3 linked regions of the Nothobranchius furzeri genome follow. The protein of the gene in region 1 interacts with the protein of each later gene in a pairwise test. Links are inferred from orthologs where the notes say so. Each region holds a gene or a part of one and is shown on either strand. Other genes may lie near its edges.

Region 1 (6,566 bases):
GCAGAATACCGGGAGGTTTTATACTAATGCAATGTTTTTAGAGGCAGAGGCCGCCATCACAGAGGAGCTGAGGGAGCGAGGCCAAGCCGAGGGGGAGGAAGACCAGGTTAAAGTTGTAAAACGAAGAAAGTGTGACTTGGAGTCCAGTGGAGGAGATTTTAGAGTCGAGAGGTGGAGTGAGGAGAGTAGGAGGAGCGCCTTCGGCCTCCTGCGTGACCGGTTCAGGGGGAGGCGTCAGGGTGTTGGCAGGCGGCACTCTCTCCGCCTGTCCCTGAGTCGTTTGAGGAGGGAAGCTGCACTCTCTGCCAAGGTGCTGAACAGAGTTAAGATCCTGGTGGTGGCTGGAGCAACGGGCATGGCGGTCGGCGCCGTGTTTGGGGCAGCTGCCCCTTTAGCCGCTGCAGCAGGGGCGTCCCTAGTAGGAAACTCCGTATCCTTTGCAGCAGGGCAGTTAGCCGGGATGTCGGCAGCAGGAGGCATGGGTGTCGGGAAAGCGGTAGGAGCCGTAGTGGCTGCAGCTTCTGGAAAAACAGCCGTGGCCCTTGGTGCAGCAACGGGTGGAGTTTTAGGTGGTTCTGTGGGAGCTGTTGCTGGTGCTGAGGCTGCTAGTCCTCAGGAGGGCGCTTTAGATGCCCTGGGCCAGGTTGGTGCCATAGGTGGGTCTGCTGTGGGAGTGGCAGCATGTGTGGGCTGTGCCCTGGGAGCTGGTGCTGCTTTTAGCTCAGCAGCTCTCCTCGCAGCAGAACCTGTAGCTCAGGGGACTTTAGCTTTAGCAGCACCGCAGCACGCCGTGGCCTCGGCTGCTGCAGGAGCTGGACCTCCTCAGTGTGCTGCAGCTTTAGCTCAGGCGGTGGCTACGCATGCCCCAGTGGTGGCTGGATCAACAGGGGCTGTTTGTGATCCATCAGGGCCTGTGGTGTCCTCGTTGACCCGGGGGGCTGTTTCAGACCACTGGGGCACCGTGGCAGTAACTACTCGTATCTTGAGCGCTGTGGCTGAGATTGGGAAAGCTGCAGCAGGCATTGCTCTGGCGGGTGGTCTGGTAGTGAAGGTGGTGAAGGAGAAAGTGAGATCTGGAACAGGTGCGACGGAAGCCAGCTACTCGGAAAAGAAGTCCTGTGAGATTTATTGGAACAGATAAAAGTTAAAGGCCATATGTGTCCTTTAACAGCTTTTCTGTTGAAATATTCAAATAAAGACATCCACATAATCTGATGCGCTGTAAACCCGACCAGGTCAAACATCACATTAAAAGTGTTTGAAGCTGTTCATGGCTGCTGTGGCATTTAATCTTAAGTATTTTGTTTTTAGGGAGGAGATAACCACAGATGTCTTCTAAATTCACTGTTGAATTAAATCTCATGCTAAAGGTTGTCACATGGGTTTGGAGGGAAGCATTTAGTCACAATTCAAACAAAAAAAGGGTAAAATGATGATAATAAAGATGTGGTTAACAGTGTTGGGAGTAACGCGGTGCAAATGTAATTAATTACTGTAACGCATTGCTTTTTGCTGTAATGTGGTAATAAGGCATTACAGGGAAAGAAAATGGTCATATTTACTCGGTACAATTGTCAGAAACACAGTAATTACAATGCATTTTTAAATCCAGAAGCAAGTTGTGGGTTTCTTCAAAATTCAAATTGCGGGAAGGCCAGGAAAGATCCAGTATCTACATATATGACGTCATTTATGGACTCAGAGTTGCGGGCATCCTATGAGCAGAGAGGACGCAGCGGTAATGGCTCCTGCATTCACAAAATGGCTCCACCAAAACAAAATAATTAATTTGCGATCGTTCATATCAGCCCATATTCTCTGGTGCTTTCTGTACTTTTCTGACGTGCTTTGCCTCAGCTGAGTTCATAATCTGCGCCCCGGTGATTTGAACTCATTGCTGCTGGAGCGCAGCACATATTAAAGAGCAAGTCACCCCCAAATCAACTTTTTTTTCTGATAAACTACATAAATGTGTGTCTAATCGTGCTGCAGACACGTGTAGTCAATAGTTTTGCACTTTAGTGCATTTTAGTTAAAATTTAAATTTTCTGCCTAAAACTGTCAGTGTTGTGCCGTTGTCAGGTAAAAACTCTGCACTGCATTTGAATTTAAATCTGCCATCGCTATTGGCTAAGAGGTACCCTAGAACGTTAGCTGGTACCATATGATGTCACAATGTCGTTGTGAGCCTGTGTGTGTGTGTGTGTTAGCGACTCTGCTCTCTCGGTCTGCTAGGCAACAGCATTTGTTGCATTTTTCAAACAGGAAGTGGGAGTGGGGTAATACTCTGATAGGGGGTGACTTGCTCTTTAAAGAGGGCCGAATTCGTCAACCGCATTTGAAGGAGTCTTCGAATTGGGACAGGCCTGGTCGCGGCACTGTGAGGTAAACGGCCGACGAAGGATGCAGACCCTGAATTGAGACACAGGCTCACGACAGCATTGTGACATCATAATGTACCAGTTTACATCATAGCATACCTCTTAGCCAATAGCTGTGGCAGATTTAAATTAAAATACAGTGCAGAGTTTTTACCTGACAACGGCACAACACTGCCAGTTTTAGGCAGAACATTTAAATTTTAACTAAGGTGCACTGAAGTGCCAAATTATTGACTACACGTGTCTGCAGCACGATTAGACGCTCATTTATTTAGTTTATCAGCAAAAAAAAGTTTTTTTGGGGGTGACTTGCTCTTTAAGCTTTTTTTGCATTCGGTAGATCCCTTGGCTGATTAGGTAGAAAGTAGGAAACTGATTTTCTGGAAGACGGAGAAAAGATGCAGCATGCAGGAAGGTTAGAGAGAGAGAGGGCCAGAAATCATTCAAATAAAATCAAGAAAATAAAAAAAAGTGCTTGAAAAGAAAAAAAAAGTAAGTAGATTTATCCCCAATACACATTTTTACCACTCCATCCATCCATCCATTTTCATCTGCTTATCCGGAGTCACGTCGCAGGGGCGGTAGCCTAAGTCGAGAGGCCCAGACTTCCCTCTCCCCATCCACTTGGGCCAGCTCTTCCGGGGGAATCCCAAGGCGTTCCCTGGCCAGGCAAGAGACATAGTCCCTCCAACGTGTCCTGGGTCTCCCTTTAGGTCTCCTCCCGGTTGGACGTGCCCAGAAAACCTCACCAGGGAGGCGTCCAGGAGGCATCCTGACCAGATGCCTGAGCCACCTCAACTGGCTCGTCTCGATGTGGAGGAGCAGCGGGTCTGCTCCAAGCCCTTCCCGGATGGCCGAGCTTTTCACCCTATCTCTAAGGGAGAGCCCAGCCATTCTGTGGAGAAAACTCATTTCGGCTGCTTGTATCCGCGATCTCGTTCTTTTGGTCACTACCCAAACCTCATGACGATAGGTGAGGGTAGGAACGTAGATCGACCGGTAAATCGAAAGCTTTGCCTTGACTCAGCTCTCTCTCCACCACGACAGACCGGTAAAACGCCCGCATCACTCCAGATGCAGCACCAATCTGCCTATCGATCTCACGCTCCAGTTTTCCCTCATTCATGAACTCCTCCACTTGGGGCAGGACCTCATCCCTGACCCGGAGAAGGCGTTCTACCCTTTTCCGAATCAAGACCATGGTCTCAGCTTTAGAGGAGCTGGTTCTTATCCCAGCTGCTTCACACTCTGCTGTGAGCCGCTCTAGCGAAAGCTGAAGATCACGTTCTGATGAAGCCAACAGGACCACATCATCTGCAAATCATCTGATCCTCAGGCGACCAGAACGGATCCCCTCCATACCTTGGTTGCACCTAGAAATCCTGTCCATAAAGGTTATGAACAGAATCGGTGACAAACGAAAGCCTTGGCGGAGTCTAAATGATAAATGACCCGCACTTCTATAGTGCCTCTCAGAGTAAGGACTCCAAAGTGCTTTACACTACAGTGTATCATTCATACATTCACACACTGATAGTGATGAGCTACAATGTAGCCACAGCTGCCCTGGGGCACACTGACAGAGGTGAGGCTGCCGAGCACAAGTGCCACCAGTCCCTCCGACCACCACCAGCAGGCAAGGTGGGTTAAGTGTCTTGCCCAAGGACACAACAGCAGAATTCTCTGTGCGGAGCCGGGATCGAACCTGCAACCTTCCGATTACTGGACAACCTGTTGAGCTACTGCTGCCCACTGGGAACGAGCCCGACTTACTGCCGGCAATGCGGACCAAGCTCTTGACACCGGTCATACAGGGACCTAACAGCCCGTATCAGAGGACCCGGTACTCCATACTGCTGGTGTACCCCCCAAAGGGCCCCCCGAGGGACACGTTCAAATGCCTTCTCCAAATCCACAAAACACATGTAGACTGGTTGGGCAAATTCCCACGCACCCTCCAGGATCTCCCTAAGGGTATAGAGCTGGCCCAGTGTTCCACGGCCAGGACGAAAACCACATTGCTCCTCCTGAATCTGAGGTTCAACAATCCGACGGACCCTCCTCTCCAGAAACCCTGAATAGACCTTACCAGGAAGGCTCAGGAGTGTGATCCCCCTGTAGATGGAACACACCCTGCGGTCCCCCCTTTTAAATAAGGGGACCACCACCCCAGTCTGCCATTCCAGTGTGCCTACCCCAATGTGTACGTGATATTGCAGAGCCGCGTCAGCCACCACAGCCCCACAACATCCAGAGCCTTAAGGAACTCCGGGCAGATCTCATCCACCCCTGGAGCCTTGCCACAGAGGAGCTTTTTAACCACCTCAGTGACCTCAGCACCAGAGACTTGAGAGGCCAACCCAAAGTCCCCAGACTCTGCTTCCTCACTGGAAGACGTGTTGGTGGGATTGAGGAGGTCTTCGAAGTACTCTGCTCACCGATCCACAACGTCCTGAGTAGAGGTCAGCAGCACACCATCCCCACTATAGATAGTGTTGGTAGCGCACTGCTTTCCCCCCCTGAGGCTCTGGATGGTGGACCAAAATCTCCTCGAAGCCATGTGGAAGTCTTGCTCCATGATCTCACCGAACTCCTCCCATGCCCAGGTTTTTGCCTTGGCGACCACCCGAGCCACGTTCCGCTTGGACTGCCGGTACCTGTCAGCTGCCTCTGGAGTCCCACAGGCCAAAAAGACCTGATAGGACTCTTTCTTGCTTGACAGCATCCCTGGGTTCAGGGGTTGCCAGAACGACAGACACCGACGATCCTGCGACCACAGCTCCGGTCGGCCGCCTCAACAATGGAGGCACGGAACAGGGTCCATTCAGACTCAATGTCCCCCGCCTTCCCCGGAACATTTTGGAAGTTCTGTCAAGAGGTGGGAATTGAAGCTCCTTCTGACAGGAGACTCTGCCAGACGTTCCCAGCAGACTCTTGAGATACGTTTGGGCCTGCCTGGTCTGACCGGCATCCTCCCCCACCATCTGAGCCAACTCACCACCAGGTAGTGGTCAGTTGACAACTCCGCCCCCTCTTCACCCGAGTGTCCAAGACATGCGGCCGCAGGTCAGATGAAACAACAACAAAGTCGATCATCGAGCTGCGGCCTAAGGTATCCTGGTGCCAAGAGCACATATGGACACCTTTATGTCTGAACATGGTGTTCTTATTGACACTCCATGACTGGCACAGAAGTCCAATAACAAAACACCACTCGAATTCAGATCGGGGGGGCCGTTCCTCCCAACCACACCTCTCCAGGTCTGTCGTTGCCTACGTGAGCATTAAAGTCCCCCAGCAGAACGAGGGAGTCACCGGAAGGAGCGCTTTCCAGCACCCCCTCCAAGGTCTCCAAAAAGGGTGAGTAGTCTGAACTGTAGTTTGGTGCGTAAGCACAGACCACAGTCAGAACCCGTCCCCCCACACGTAGGCGGAGGGTGGCTACCCTCTCATTCACTGGGGTAAACCCCAACATACAGGCACCAAGATGGGGGGCAACCAGTATGCCCACCCTTGCTCGGCGCCTCTCAGTGGGAGCAACTCCATAGTGGTACAAAGTCCAACCCCTCTCAAGGAAACTGGTTCCAGAGCCATGCGTTGAAGTGAGTCCAACCATATCTAGTCAGAACCTCTCAACCTCAGGCTCCTTTCCCACCAGAGAGGTGTCATTCCATGTGCCAAGAGCCAGCTTCTGTAGCCGAGGATCAGACCGCCAAGGTCCCCGCCCTCGACTACCACCCGTCACACACTGCACCCGACCCCTTTGGCCCCTCCCACGAGTGGTGAGTCCATGGGAAGGGGGACTTATGTTTCCTCTTCGGGCTGTGCCCAGCCAGGCTCCATGGGTGAAAGCCCGGCCACCAGGCGCTCGCCAACGTGCCCCACCTCCAGGCCTGGCTCTAGAGGGGGGCCTCGATGACCCACGTCCGGGCGAGGGAACACGGTTTCCATTTATATAATTCATCATAAGAGGTCTTTGGGCTGCTCTTTGTCTGATCCCTCACCTAGGACCTGTTTGCCATGGGTGACCCTACCACAGGCAGAAAGCCTCAGACAACTTGGCTCCTAGGATCATTGAGACACTCAAACCCCTCCACCACGGTAAGGTGGCAGCCCAGGGAGAGGAAAACTTAAATTTTAACTAAAATGCACTAAAGTGCTAAACTATTGACTACACGTGTCTGC
Region 2 (6,522 bases), on another chromosome or scaffold:
TAGAAGGGGGCGAGAAGTCTCGGAAAGAGAGCACGGCAGCAGGCAAACATTACCGCGGCACTCCTGACACAGAGACAAGAATCTCGAGCCTCCTTCCCCTTTAACATTCAAGCATAATCAATCTAGCATGCTACATGATACTCAAACCCCGCCTCAAACCCAACGCCCACCTCATTCTAGCAGATGTGACCAATGCAAAGACAAAGGGCTGTCGTGCTATTGGACGCCGCGTACACCAATCCGCTCCGGCACGTCCCCCACTCTGCTTTCCTCCGCCCAACCCCCTTTCACTGACAGTCAACTTCCTGCTCTAAGTTACCTTGAGCTGCAGGATAGGGGTCAGGGAAAAGAAAAGAGAAAGAGAGAAGAGAGGCGATGGGAGAGAGAAAAAGGAGCAAGTAAAGTTGTGGAAAAGTCTCCGACGAGGGCGTGATCGCTGTGGCTTGCCTTGGCATCGTTTGTTCTGAAGCGGTCTCCCGTCTCTCCTGCTGCTGGTTGGATGAGAAAGGTTCCGACGGGCTGCTCTCTGACAACTGCTCTCTGCTTATTTACAATGTCAAACTAAATGTCTCCCTCTGCCCCGCCCCCCTCGGCAGCTACGGGCTGACGGCACAATGATGCAGGCAACCAGGAACGCCCCGATTGGCTGAAAGAAGTGCCAGAACTGATGCTGCATGTTGCATCCACATGATTTAAAGTACAAAACCTAGCAGCCAGCCACCCTGTCTCACGCGTGTACAGTCTCACATGCACATCCACACAAATGCACATTTTGTCCTTGCTTCCTCGTTTATCCTTGCTGGTGTTTCCAGGTGCGTGGAGCGACAACGTTGCCTCTGAGCAGCCCGTTTGTTGTAATGACATTCATATTACTGATAATACAGCAAAGACAAAATTTGTCCACATAAACAAAATACTTTTTTATTTGTTTAGGATGTAAAATAGCAGAATGACATTCAACAAATTTACGACACAGGAGATGATTTTCTGCAAACTATGTTGCTTACTTGGACCATAACAAAAAATATTTATAAATCTCTAAAACTGATCATTTCAGGCCATCAGTTGCGGAAGAAATCAGCTGATGGAACATTAGTTGGGATGGGGGAGGGATAAGGCTGAATATGATTCTTGTTCTATTTGTGGTTAAACAAGACTTAAGAGATATGGGTGGAAATCTGTACACAAAGACGCTGGTGTCCTGACCCCAAAACGAAGCTAGCAGCAACTTCCACAATAAAAACGTCAACGGAAACCACACCAGCAATGACAAACTCGATGCCCTTTTTGTTCACGGCACATCCTTTCATCGCAGAAACCTTTACTTCGGATCACCAAGACCAGCCGCCACCGCTCATGTGCCCAGCTGATGTTTTACAAACCACAACCTTGAGCAGTTTGTGATCCGTTTCACATGTGAACTCATTAGGAGACACATACATGAAGCAGGAAACGTGTTTAAAAAGTGACATAATAGTCTAAAGATAATGCTCCATATGAATGTGACTCTACAGTGGAGTGGAATGGAACAAGCTTAAGAGGAAACAGAGGAAACCTGCCCCTTCAATGAAATACCGGGGGGGGGGGAGAGACCGGAAGGATGGAGAAGGACAGAGAGGAGAGTTGTTATGGGATGGGAGGGGTAGAACAAGTGGTGGGAGGGTTAGGGAACAAGATAGATAACTCAAGAGAAACAAAGCTAAATGTTCCTTTTGCTATTTTAGCACAGAGCACCGGCACAAGAAAAGGCGCTGCAAGCATCAGGTTAATGATTGGATAGTTTTCTCAAAGATTAATCTCTCCATCACGGCTAACTGGCCAGGACATTTATTTTTCTCTTAAAGGGGACGCTTGCTACCCAAATAGCCTCAGTAATGACACTTGGCAAGGTCAGCATACAAATGAAACCTTCCCATGACCTATACCGCCCGTAGCATGGCCATGTTTGTGCTCGCTGATGCTGTTTGGAGATAAACACACACCAATCAGACGTTAGGTTTCATAAACACACAGCACCCTCAGGGTGGCCGAGCTAAGCCTTCAACATGTAAACATATAACCACCTGCAAACCCCAGCTCACTGATTTGCACAATAGGTGCTTCCATTAATGTTTGATCAAAATCTAAGCATTCTGTCAATTAGAAAAATAAGCAATTAGTGGATTAAACAAACATTAATGTTTTAGAGACAGAAATAATAGACTGGGGTGGGAAGAGCTGCAATCCTGAGTTAGAAGTAAACTTATACACCAAGAATAAGGAATTACAGATGGACTTTTATTAAACAACCAAACTTCATTTCAAATGTACAAAGTTAAGCTATAATTCAAAATTAAAACAAATTAGGAACTAAAATGCACAAAAGTAAAAGCTTAAAATAGGATTTTTTTAAATAGATTAATCAAAAAACAAAACGGTTTGTGTCCTTTCTGCTTTGGGTGTTGTTTAGTTATTGATATTGTCTATATATTGTGTATTTGTTGATTCGTAAGCGTACAAATATTCAGAAAACAGTTCAGTACATGCAGGATGATTACATAACTCAGCTCAACTGGTTATTTGTTTTCCAATTGTGATCATGACATTAAACCAATTACACTTTTTACGATTAAATGGCACACTGCGCTTTTAACGCAGCCGACAGACATATTAGGTAAAAATCGCAGCAGGTATAACGCATTTTCTGGCCATTCTCAGTTTGCGAAACGGAATTCTACAGAGGTTTATTTGAATAAAGCGGCCATCGTGATAAAGTGAAAAAAATGATGCTAAATCTTGGGCTAGCAGGCACAACTAGCTTGTATTTTCTTGAGTTGGAGAGACTAATTGAACACATTTTCGTGCTTAGACACACAAAACAGCCGTACACAAAAGATTTCCACTACTAGTTTAACGTTAGGATAGGGAGTGCCGACTGTGACAAAGTGAACTTTATGCTAGCTTGGTGGAGAATGGTGACTGTTGCACTGCTCGGCTGACATTCCGCGGAGTGAAATTAAATCACACACTGACGAGTCTTGCCATCGTAAAGTTTGCAAAGCTCGAAAGAAACACCCTAACCAATAAAGACAACGTTTGGATCTGTCCTTCAGACCAATCAAACCTCGGACTAGATTCCACCAATCAAGGTTTTTAAGGCTAAGTTCGTTCTGCAATCGACGCCATTCGGGATCCAATGGAAATAGCCACTGCGTTTGACAGCCGTTTTAATGAGATCCAAAATGGCGGACACAGACCTCCAGTTTCCAAACCGCCCGGGATCTCTTCGGCGGGCCACCAATAAGCGCCTGAGTGCGGGGAGGGAAATGGCGCCGATGTTCATCTCCCAAAACAATCGTCTATTGGTCAAGAACAGCAAATGAAAACAGGCCAAATAATTGCCCCGACTGCCACTCCCTCAGGCCTGTTTTATGTAAAGAACATAGGTATGAGAGAATTTAAGTTTTTTACTCACTTTCTTTTTCGGGTTCGAGCTGAAGTCCGGCTCAGCGTATTATTTATTTTGTTTAACAAGCTAGGGAAACAAGATGGCTGCTTGACTCGAACCGGAAAGATTAACGCGATGACGTAGTGCGAGCTACGTTTTCACAGAACCTACGTCTGAACAAATAAGACATATTGAACCTACGAAATAACATTCAAATGGATATATTGTATTTATGTAAACACATATTAAGCCTGTCACTCATGCAAATAATTTTTACCTCACAAAAAATATAAAGTTTTGCAAAAGTTGGCTTGATAAAATACTATTTTGTCTGGAAAATTCCTGGAAAAAAACAGAGGATTCAAACTTGGATTCTGACCGTAAGGTAATTTTTGTGCTATTTAAAAAGTGCATAAACAGACGTCAACCTTGGTGTGTTCTTTAAACATCTTTGGTGTGTTCTTGTTGTGTTGAAATTCTAATTCCATCTTTTAGTTCTTGGTGTGTTCTGTATATAAAAAGAGCCACATTCACATTACGAATTTTAGTTTTGTAAATTAACACGTTCATATCACATAAAATGAAACTGTGTACAAATGTTGATGGTTATGCTTACACTGATACAAATGAGAAACTAAAATAAACAGATTACTACAGACAAGACAATTACATCACAGATCTTGACGGGTCAAAAACTGAACTTTACTAAGGCAAATTCCCTAAAATAAACCAAACCATTCAACTTCACATGCAACCTGAAACTACTTACACAAACAAAATCTAATTTTATTTTATAACCATCTTGGGAGTGACTATTTTCTTGCCACAAGCTCCAGGAGAGCGCAGGTGATTTTGTCCAGATTGTTGGAGTAGCGAGGGTCCCTCTGCATCCTGCTCTGTTGCTCCATAAGAGGGGGAGGCGCAGCGGGGTGAGGGTCAAAAAACATATCAGGATTCCGGTAGTCGGGTGAGTTCATGAGTTCTGGAAGTCTTTCGGGATAAAAAGGTGTTCCACCTAAAAACACACAAGACAACGACTTTAGAATAAAAACAATTCATAATTAAACTTTCATACAGATTTTTTTGCTTTACAGACTGTCCTCCAACTCACCATGTTTATGTGACCGGTATGTACACGCGCTCACGGGCCACTTTAATGAATACACCTGTCCAAGTGCTCGATTACGCAAATTACTAAATCAGCCAATGACATGGTGGCAACTCAATGCATTTCGGCATGTTGACACGATCCGCTGCAGTTCAAACTGAGCTTCAGAATGGGGATGAAAGGCGATTTAATTTGACTTTGAACGTGTCATGGTTGTGGGTGCCAGACGGGCTGGTCTGAGTATTTCAGAAACTGCTGATCTTCTGGGACTGTCTTGCACAACCATCTCTAGGGTTTACAGTAGGGATGAGTTTTGGTGAAACTCTGGCGATACAATACGTATCACTCGCTGGGCAATAAATCGAAAATTTATCGTTATCGAAATCTCTGACTCTTATCGTGATCATTTTTCCCATGTCAATAAATTTGATAATAAAAAAATGAAAATATGTGTAGGTTGGCAAAGTGTCACGTAAAAATGTATGTAACACATGTGACAGTAGGGCTGCTCGATTATGGCAAAAATAATAATCACGATTATGGTGACTGAAATTGAGATCACGATTATTTAGGACGATTTTTCAATTTATGTTGATTTTATTTGTTTTTATTCAGTCATAAAATTGCTCAGGGCACAATCAGGGCAAAAGTAAACAAGAAACAAGATGATCACTAAAATAACTCCTGATTCCCAGTATAAAAAGCCCAATATACTTACAGCTCATAGTTTATGACCCAAGGGCTATAGACCTTGGTTTAACTCATTTAAGTCTAACCAGTACAGACCCAAATACCAATATCTTGCAAATACTGACAGCAAGAATTATACAGTGGCATTTATAACAAATACATGCAAATAAATTGATGTTCACAAAATGTTGCGTAACATTTATTGAGTCGTGTCAAGGTGCTGTAGAAGAGTGCACTAGCACCGTGTCCTCAGAGAGATTAGTTATCATTTATCAGCGTGAGGAACTTATTTCTACCTTATTTATAAACTATTTATTTACAAGTCCATCAGTTAATGTAATAATTGTCCCAACCACAGCTGCACCCCCCACCCCCCAACCCGGTCTCACAGCAATCGGGGCAAGCTGCACGCGTGTTTAGCACGCCGCACATTTAACCATTTTTAGTGGCTCAGGAGTCCGCAGGTGCAGTGTGTGTGTCACTCACTCTGGTTACACCAACAGGGAGCCGGCTCCGAGAGCCGTTTCTTTAGCGACTGACACATCACTACATCATTCCCTTTCCTAATGTCCTGAAGAACGGTCCGGAGCGCAGGCGGAGTTTTTAGCTAACCTGCAGGAAATGTCGACGACAGTTATCCAGAAAGTAGCTAAGGGTTACCAGAGATGTTTCTGAGGTGTTCGCTAGGAACTTTTAAGTTAAAAAGTCATGAAGGGGGTCTGAAAAGCTGCTAGACATAGCCTCAAAGTCGCCAAGTTGGCAACACTGTGGGAGGAGCGCTTCATTTGCAACTCAGGGCAGCGCAAGCGGGAGGAGCAAATAATCGGCTTGTTTTGTTTTTTATAATCGTTCAAAACTCAGATCGTAATCGTGATTAAAATTCGATTAATTGAGCAGCCCTATGTGACAGCCCCACCTAGTGGACAACTTTTGTTTCTGCGCATTCCTGTAGTTATCGTTGACTTATCGTTATCGAGGTGAAATCCTCAATATATCGTGAAATTGATTTTAGGCCGCATCGCCCAGCCCTAATCACTATAGATACGTATCAAAGCGATATATTCAACCAAACGATATTTGCGAGTTTTATAGACTGAAATTATTGCAGGAAAATTCAATCAACAGTCCAAACTGATACATAACATGTTTAACATGAGGTATCTGAATCATAGAGGGATTTACAGTGGTGGAAACAAAACCCATTGCACACTGCTGCTAACTAGCGGCCAGCTTTTGAACTGTACCAAAAGAAAAGTAAATACACAAACGTTTGCATGTTAACCCTCCCACTGTCTTT
Region 3 (6,677 bases), on another chromosome or scaffold:
TTATTGGGTCTTTGGTAATTTAAGACCTTTGGAAACTGTATTTAAGGATTATTTGTCATTTTTAAGGATTTTCAAAGCCTTAAATTTGGAAAAGTCAATTTAAGACTTTTTAAGGACCCGCGGATACCCTGTGTAATACAGTAACTATGCCAAACTGCCTTCAGTGTAATTTAACTATCAGATGAAGAAATCGAACACAAACAGCTTGTTTACAGTTTAAGGCTCAGGGAAAACTCAGATAGTAGAACTGGTTTAACCAGAATTTAACTTGCATGCAAAGTGAAGCGATACCAAACATCGAAACCTCATTTTAAAGATACTAATCCTGAGACATTGTTGTTGTTTGCATGTACTTTTTCTCTTTTTGCATCTAAATTTTATCATATTTAGGAAATAAATGGTTCGTAAACAGTCATGATAAAATGTGGGCTAATTAAATAGAAATGACACAAATTTGTTTTCCATAACTCAGGAGTTATAGAAAGCATGGTCCTACTGTTGACTGGAGGTTATTATAAAGCATATTGAGACACATAATGAGAAACTTATAAACAAGCTGGTCTAACCTGATGCACCTGTGATGTTGATGGGGATTCCCTGCAGAGGATGCATCTGCAGCCCTGTGCTTCCAAGTGAGTTGAGATTTATGGTCTGAAGATTTGGGATCTGCACCGGTACCGTTCCAGCTCCGGTAGCTCCTTGAGTCTGCCCGAGCTGGGGCAGAGACTGCACTGGGGCTAGTGTTATCTGTGCACCTGCTGGACTCTGGATGTGAAGGGTCTGCCAGCTAACCTGGCCATTAGGGCCTACAGTGCGCAGGAGGATAGGCCCTGTGTTTGGCATAATCTGAAGATTTTGAAGCCCCTCTTGGCTGAGTGTTGGAGCTGCAAACACCTGACCACCTGCACTTGCAACGGTACTGGCTTGTATGGTCTGAAGAGGTGCTCCACTTTGAATAACCTGAGGAGACTGAATGAGGATTTGTTGAGGCTGCTGCTCTGCTCTGTTGTCTGGCTGAATTGGGACACCAAGAGAGGAGGCTGGGTTTTGCTGGAACGTTCTGCTCCCTGATCCGTTACTCTTCTGTGTGGCAATTCCATAAGAAGAGGTTTGAGTGGTGATGGTGGATTCGCTGGTCATGTAACTGGTCCCACTATTAGAAGATGCTGGCTGTGGAGATTGCTGTACGTGCTGGTTCCCACCCGTTTCTCCACTACCATTTGCATCCCCTCCAGTAGAACCTGTACTGACAGGCACCAAAGTGATGTTTCCATTCAAGGATACTGGCATGTTTGCCAGAAACTGGGGCTGATTTTGTAAAACACCATTGCCTAAGATGTTCTGAATGGGGATGGCTCCCTGAAGGACACTGGGCATGGTTATGATGTTTCCAGCTGCACCAGCTCTATTGGATGCAGCAATAATCTGCTGGCCATTTGGAGAGGACACTATCTGAAACTGTTGTCCTTGTCCTGCTGCAGCAGGTTCCTGTTGAGCATGTGCAAAGTGCAGCGGTTGGCCATCTACTGTCTGAAATTGGGGTATTACTTGGTACTGTATATTGGGCATCACACCTGATATGGTGGTTAGAACCTGCTGACCTGGCACAGATGGGGCCTGAGCTACTACATACTGCTGTGGCTGCTGACCCTGAGTACTTGATGGTGACAGCACCTGTCTGCTTTTGCCATTGTCTCCTGTCATCACCCCTGAGGAATCAGTGGTGATTGTGTTAGAGCCGGAGGATGCCTGAACGCTTAGAGGAACGACCTGCCAGCCGTTGGCACTGGAGGTGAAGACACCCGGGTTTATTTCCAGCTGTTGGTCTGCGGTAGAATCGTTTTCTCCGGGGGTGTCGATTCGACTGCACGTGGCTGCCAGCAAGGCCAAAGGAGACGGCTGCTGTGAGTCCTATAATCAGTATAAATGAAGATCAAACAGGAAAATGTAAACAGACAATAATAACAGAGCATGCTATCTTACATCTATAGAGACAATTGAGTGCCAGAAATTCTGATGTGAACATTTGTTGCTGCACAAGTTTTTAGCAGACTTTCCTGAACAAAATGGATGAATTTCATATTTCAAACCAATTTTGACAGTTACTGTGATACTCTTTAGCTTTTTCTACAATGTTTGGCCTTTGCTGGGATGGCTCCAGCATACACATCAGCCTTGCTTTCTAAACATGTTCTGCCAAGATCTCGTCGCTCAGCCGATCCCAGTCTCTTAGTAGTCTCGAGGATTTAGACTGGGGGGTGACCATGCCTTCTCTTGTTTTTTTTTCTATAGACTTTTGAACTCTGGAGATTAAACATGTTCCCTCCTTGTAATGCTTCAAAGCTGGATGGTTTTTGTATCACTTTTCATTTTCCGTCTGTTAGTGGCTTATTTTTGTAACTGTATATTATTACCGTTTAGTGTGCTTTAAATTTTAGGTTTCCTTTGTACTGGTTTTATGTTTGTATTTGATTTACTTACTTTTCCATTCTCTACTTTTACCTTTTTATGTGCGTCATGCAATTTTGTGTTTTGCCTTGATTGGCAGCATGAAGGTGCTTTATAAATGAATGAATAAAACTACTCATGTAAAATCACATCCCCCAAAGCCCCATGAACTCTTTTGTCCACGCATATTCAAACTGGAGAACAATAAAAGCAACCCTAATTATTATAAACAAGATGTTTACAGCAACACAAATAAAGTGGAACATAAATTATATCTTAAACCGTGCAAGGGGATCACATGTTCTAGCATATTGTATATTGGACCTGTTAAAAAATAGGAAGAAAGGCATGATGTTTCAAGTTAAAACAAATTAGGTTCCTTATTCTAAAAGAAATCTAGCTTGTTTAGTGAAAACCATAATATCACTGCGTTTAAGTCTAGCGAGTTTCATTGAAGCGCTTGTAGGGGAGTGGGCTTCACAGAGAAAACGCATTGGGTGAGGGGACATGGGAGGGAGGGACCACATTTTCCGGAGCAGCGGCGGGCTCGGCTTCCCCTCCCCCCAAGCCCACCCATCTCCCTCCCACACTTGATTTTCGCCCTATAAACTAGCACACTTCACTAGCCACCCCCTCCAAGGAGAGCCAAATGGGCCGAGCGAAACATACAAGAAGTGCCCGGGTTAGATGGGAACACCCCGTGTGGGCGAAATTTACCTGCCCAGTTCCCACCCCGATGACATGTGCTCTGGTGAGAAAATCAACAACCCGCTCAGGTCCAGACACACACGCACAGACGAACACAACAAATTCAACAAGTGGCACACACGATGAGAACGAAATGTCGCTAAGTGGTTAACTTACTTGTGAGTTTGTGTTTCGCTTCTGGCTGAATCCTCCGCCGCTCTCCACAGCGGCCATTTCACCCTGCTGCTGCTGATCTGCGGAAGAACACTTGTAAGACTTCTTGGAACATAATAGATCAGTTATACACGAAAACAAAAATCAAACAAAGAAAAACGACTACATGTTTCACAACAAGTCAACTTAAGAATGCTTTGTGGAAGATTCGGGTTGGAAAACATTTCAAGCCCTCACAAGGCCAGTTAGCTTGTGAGCTAACGTGAACTCAGCACAAGTAATAAACAATAAACTAGTTAAGCATTAATTAAGTGCACCAACGCAGTTTCCACCGTTCTGATAAAACATTACCGCTATTTTTTGTTTGAGGAATACCATAACCTACAATTCTAAAGAGGGGACAGCGTCGTTTTCTAAAGAACCACTAACAAGTAGCGTTAAGTAACAATAAACTAACGTCACTTTAAAACTGCTTCAGACTAGACAACAATGCAGCGCAAAATCCACCACTTAATACAAATAACACGATGTTGCTACGTCATACCCTTGAGTTATAAGTACGCACGTAGTATGCCTCCAAGTTTTAAAAGTCCACTTACTGCTCATAATTAGAAGACGGGAGGAGTTTCTGCTCTTTTTTCAGCTTGACAACTTTTCACAACTTCACACAAACTTAAGTTCCCCCTCCCTTTGAAGTAGGCGTATGAGTGCGTTCGATTTATGTAAACTAGATTCGAGATGGTGCAATGAACTTCTCAAACCTATTTCAAGTTAGACTACTTTTTAACTAGAGATTATAAAAATATAATTTGTGAAACTTAAGTGAGCCAGTAGATGACATTTTGAAAGAATGCTGGGTTTTCTTGGCGCTTAAATCAAAGTAAAACCGACTCCTGAACTTATCATAGACATGTACAAGTTACAAGGCAGAAATGAAACGGTAGAGTGAGTACCGCCACACATGCTGTAAATAATTCAATTCAAACCGATTTAAACTCGGAATATTTAAGATTTTTTTTTTCTTTTTCGTTTGGTAGTACGCGTACCGTACTGTGCCGAAAAAAAAACAAGCGCTCCTCAATCAGCAATACGGGTGATGGAATAATCCATTGTCCAATAGAATTGTTTGTCTCGCCTAAAGAGCACCAGTTGACTAATCTAATTTCACCATAGTTGGAGGGGTGGGCGGGATTAAGCACGGTAGGTTGTGCTCTTGAGCATGATTGACGTCGGGTTATTTGTTTTCCGCTAAAACGACGTCACTATAGTTTAGTCCACGTAAATACTGATAATTCGCTTAGCCCCGTCTTGAAGTGGAGTCAAATTTCAACAGTGAAACAACGCCAAACGTTGTTAATGTCTCTGGCCACAGAGGTGGGAAGTAAGGAGGGCTGAACGAGTGCTTGAGTCTTGCCTCCGTGGCCGTTGGCCACTCCCTTGTGGCTTTGTGAGTCGGTAAACAGTAATGTGGCGGGAGGAGTCAGAAAGGGTGGAGAAGAACCCTCATAACACTCACCACACTGGCTACTATGCTGGGCTGGGAGTGGAAGATGGTTGGACTGGGAGGGCTTTTATCTCTGCTAGGGGCTGTCATTGAAATAGCACATGTGTCCATGTATAAACATGTCAGAGGGTGGAGTCCATACATCCATACCACCCTGGCCTGTCTGTTTACACACACACACACACACACACACACACACACACACAATTGAATTTGATTGATTTAGTCAGGTTCAATATTGTGTTCAAATTGCTATGTTTAATCCTGTTATGTAGAACAATTAAGTGCCTTCTGGTTTCTATGCTTATCACAGGATTTATCTATGTTATCACTTCACAAGTACTCTAAAGAAATGCTGTTGGGTAAAAAGTTAGCACAAAAAATGTGCTAAAATCAGGAAATATCAAATAAACAGGATATAACCGGGGCAGTGCTAGTGGAAGGTGTCCAAGGTGTGCCAGTGCCACCCTGACAGCAATCATGGACCTCGTGCCGCAGAGCCTTAACATTAAGTTCTGCTTATTTGAACAAAAGCATGTCAAAGCATTTATCTGGTATAGTAGATGCTTATACAAATATTTTCTTGTTGTTATACCAAAATAATAACCCAGATAACACATTTTGTGCAAAAAAGTCATACTCTGAGACATATTGGAAAGGTGTATACAAAGTGATTGCCATTGTAGATAATAAACGCTGAAAAACTGAAAGACAATGTTTGGAGTGTTTTCTTACAACAGTGCCTCTGTAGCAGCAGCTGGCCACAGCCTGGACCCTCCTTATGATAGTCTAGACTCTAGAGCAGGGATGTCAAATATGCGGCCCGCGGGCCGGATCCGGCCCGCAAGCGGGTTAAATCCGGCCCGCGAGATGATTGTGTAAACTTTATTTTCATACTTTACAATGTAGAGTGAAAATAAACTTATCTTTGTGAGCAAGTTTTCTCTGTAATGAGTATAAATAAAACAAAGCTGCGCTCAAGGCTCACACAAGAACTTGAATCACATCCTGAAGTTGGCATGCCACTCAGGATGTGACTTCTGATATTGATGTGCTGGTGAAAGCTAAAAGATGTAAAGTAAAATGAGTCAAATATATTTTAAGTGCTGCACGAAACTGATCTAGCCATGTGATCTGTAAGCTCTTTTAATCACTAAGGAATGTATTTTTTATTGATTGATTTTTTTTATTTTTTTCAAATTTTCAAGTACACTTCAGGTGTTGTACTTGTACCGTTTTGGATACATTGTCCTCTGGCTCCAGCCTTGTTTTATATTGGTTGTATTAAAACAAAGAAAACAATCTGAAGTTGTTTTTAATTTACCGGTCCGGCCCACTTGGAACTAGATTTCTCGCAATGTGGCCCCTGAGCTAAAATGAGTTTGACACCCCTGCACTAGAGCCTCCCATGGTACATTGACGGTGGCAAAAATTCCACCATCCTCTGCAAAGGCCAGAGTGTGCTTTTCAGATAATTGCAAGTACATCTATTTTCAAACGGTTAAAGAATGACACAGGAAGCACACATATGGTCAGCTTTTAGAGCTGGCCTGTTTCAAACTATTCAGTGGACATACATGCAAAGTAATATAAGGGATCAATTTCATTGTCCCTTCTTGATCCATGTTAGCTTTTGAAGATTATCTGTGCATGAATGATCTTTTTTAATTCTTATTGACTAGAAATAATGTCATTGACACTTTGGTGATTAAGTGGCTCTCTAAACGTTTCTTCAATGGAGACATCGTAGGTGGATTTTTGGTGAAGTTTTCATCAACTAATCATTTATAGCTTACTGTTGATCTTTTGAGCAAAATTAGCAAAATGTCACAACATACGTTTTTTATTTGCAGGAAATCACCAA

Evidence for each region.
Region 2: the proteins of srebf2 (region 1) and nfyc interact in binary tests that used the Homo sapiens proteins (3 or more experiments, as listed by UniProt). The link is inferred for Nothobranchius furzeri from reciprocal best matches to the Homo sapiens genes SREBF2 and NFYC.
Region 3: the proteins of srebf2 (region 1) and sp1 interact in binary tests that used the Homo sapiens proteins (3 or more experiments, as listed by UniProt). The link is inferred for Nothobranchius furzeri from reciprocal best matches to the Homo sapiens genes SREBF2 and SP1.

The regions. Positions count from the first base shown.
Region 1 is NC_091752.1:67,063,607-67,070,172, reverse strand, and holds the start of srebf2 (sterol regulatory element-binding protein 2), read left to right. Parts: upstream 1-2,568; 5' UTR 2,569-6,566. Other genes in the region: uncharacterized protein, read left to right, coding at 1-1,141.
Region 2 is NC_091759.1:20,571,412-20,577,933, forward strand, and holds the start of nfyc (nuclear transcription factor Y subunit gamma), read right to left. Parts: upstream 3,565-6,522; 5' UTR 3,455-3,564; intron 3,312-3,454; exon of another isoform or gene 3,237-3,311; intron 571-3,236; exon of another isoform or gene 448-570; intron 365-447; exon of another isoform or gene 171-364; intron 1-170. Other genes in the region: uncharacterized protein si:ch211-13c6.2, read right to left, coding at 4,240-4,442. UniProt on the Homo sapiens protein: Component of the sequence-specific heterotrimeric transcription factor (NF-Y) which specifically recognizes a 5'-CCAAT-3' box motif found in the promoters of its target genes.
Region 3 is NC_091743.1:62,034,151-62,040,827, reverse strand, and holds the start of sp1 (transcription factor Sp1), read right to left. Parts: upstream 3,999-6,677; 5' UTR 3,916-3,998; coding exon 3,909-3,915; exon of another isoform or gene 3,854-3,908; intron 3,390-3,853; coding exon 3,313-3,389; intron 1,912-3,312; coding exon 567-1,911; intron 1-566. UniProt on the Homo sapiens protein: Transcription factor that can activate or repress transcription in response to physiological and pathological stimuli.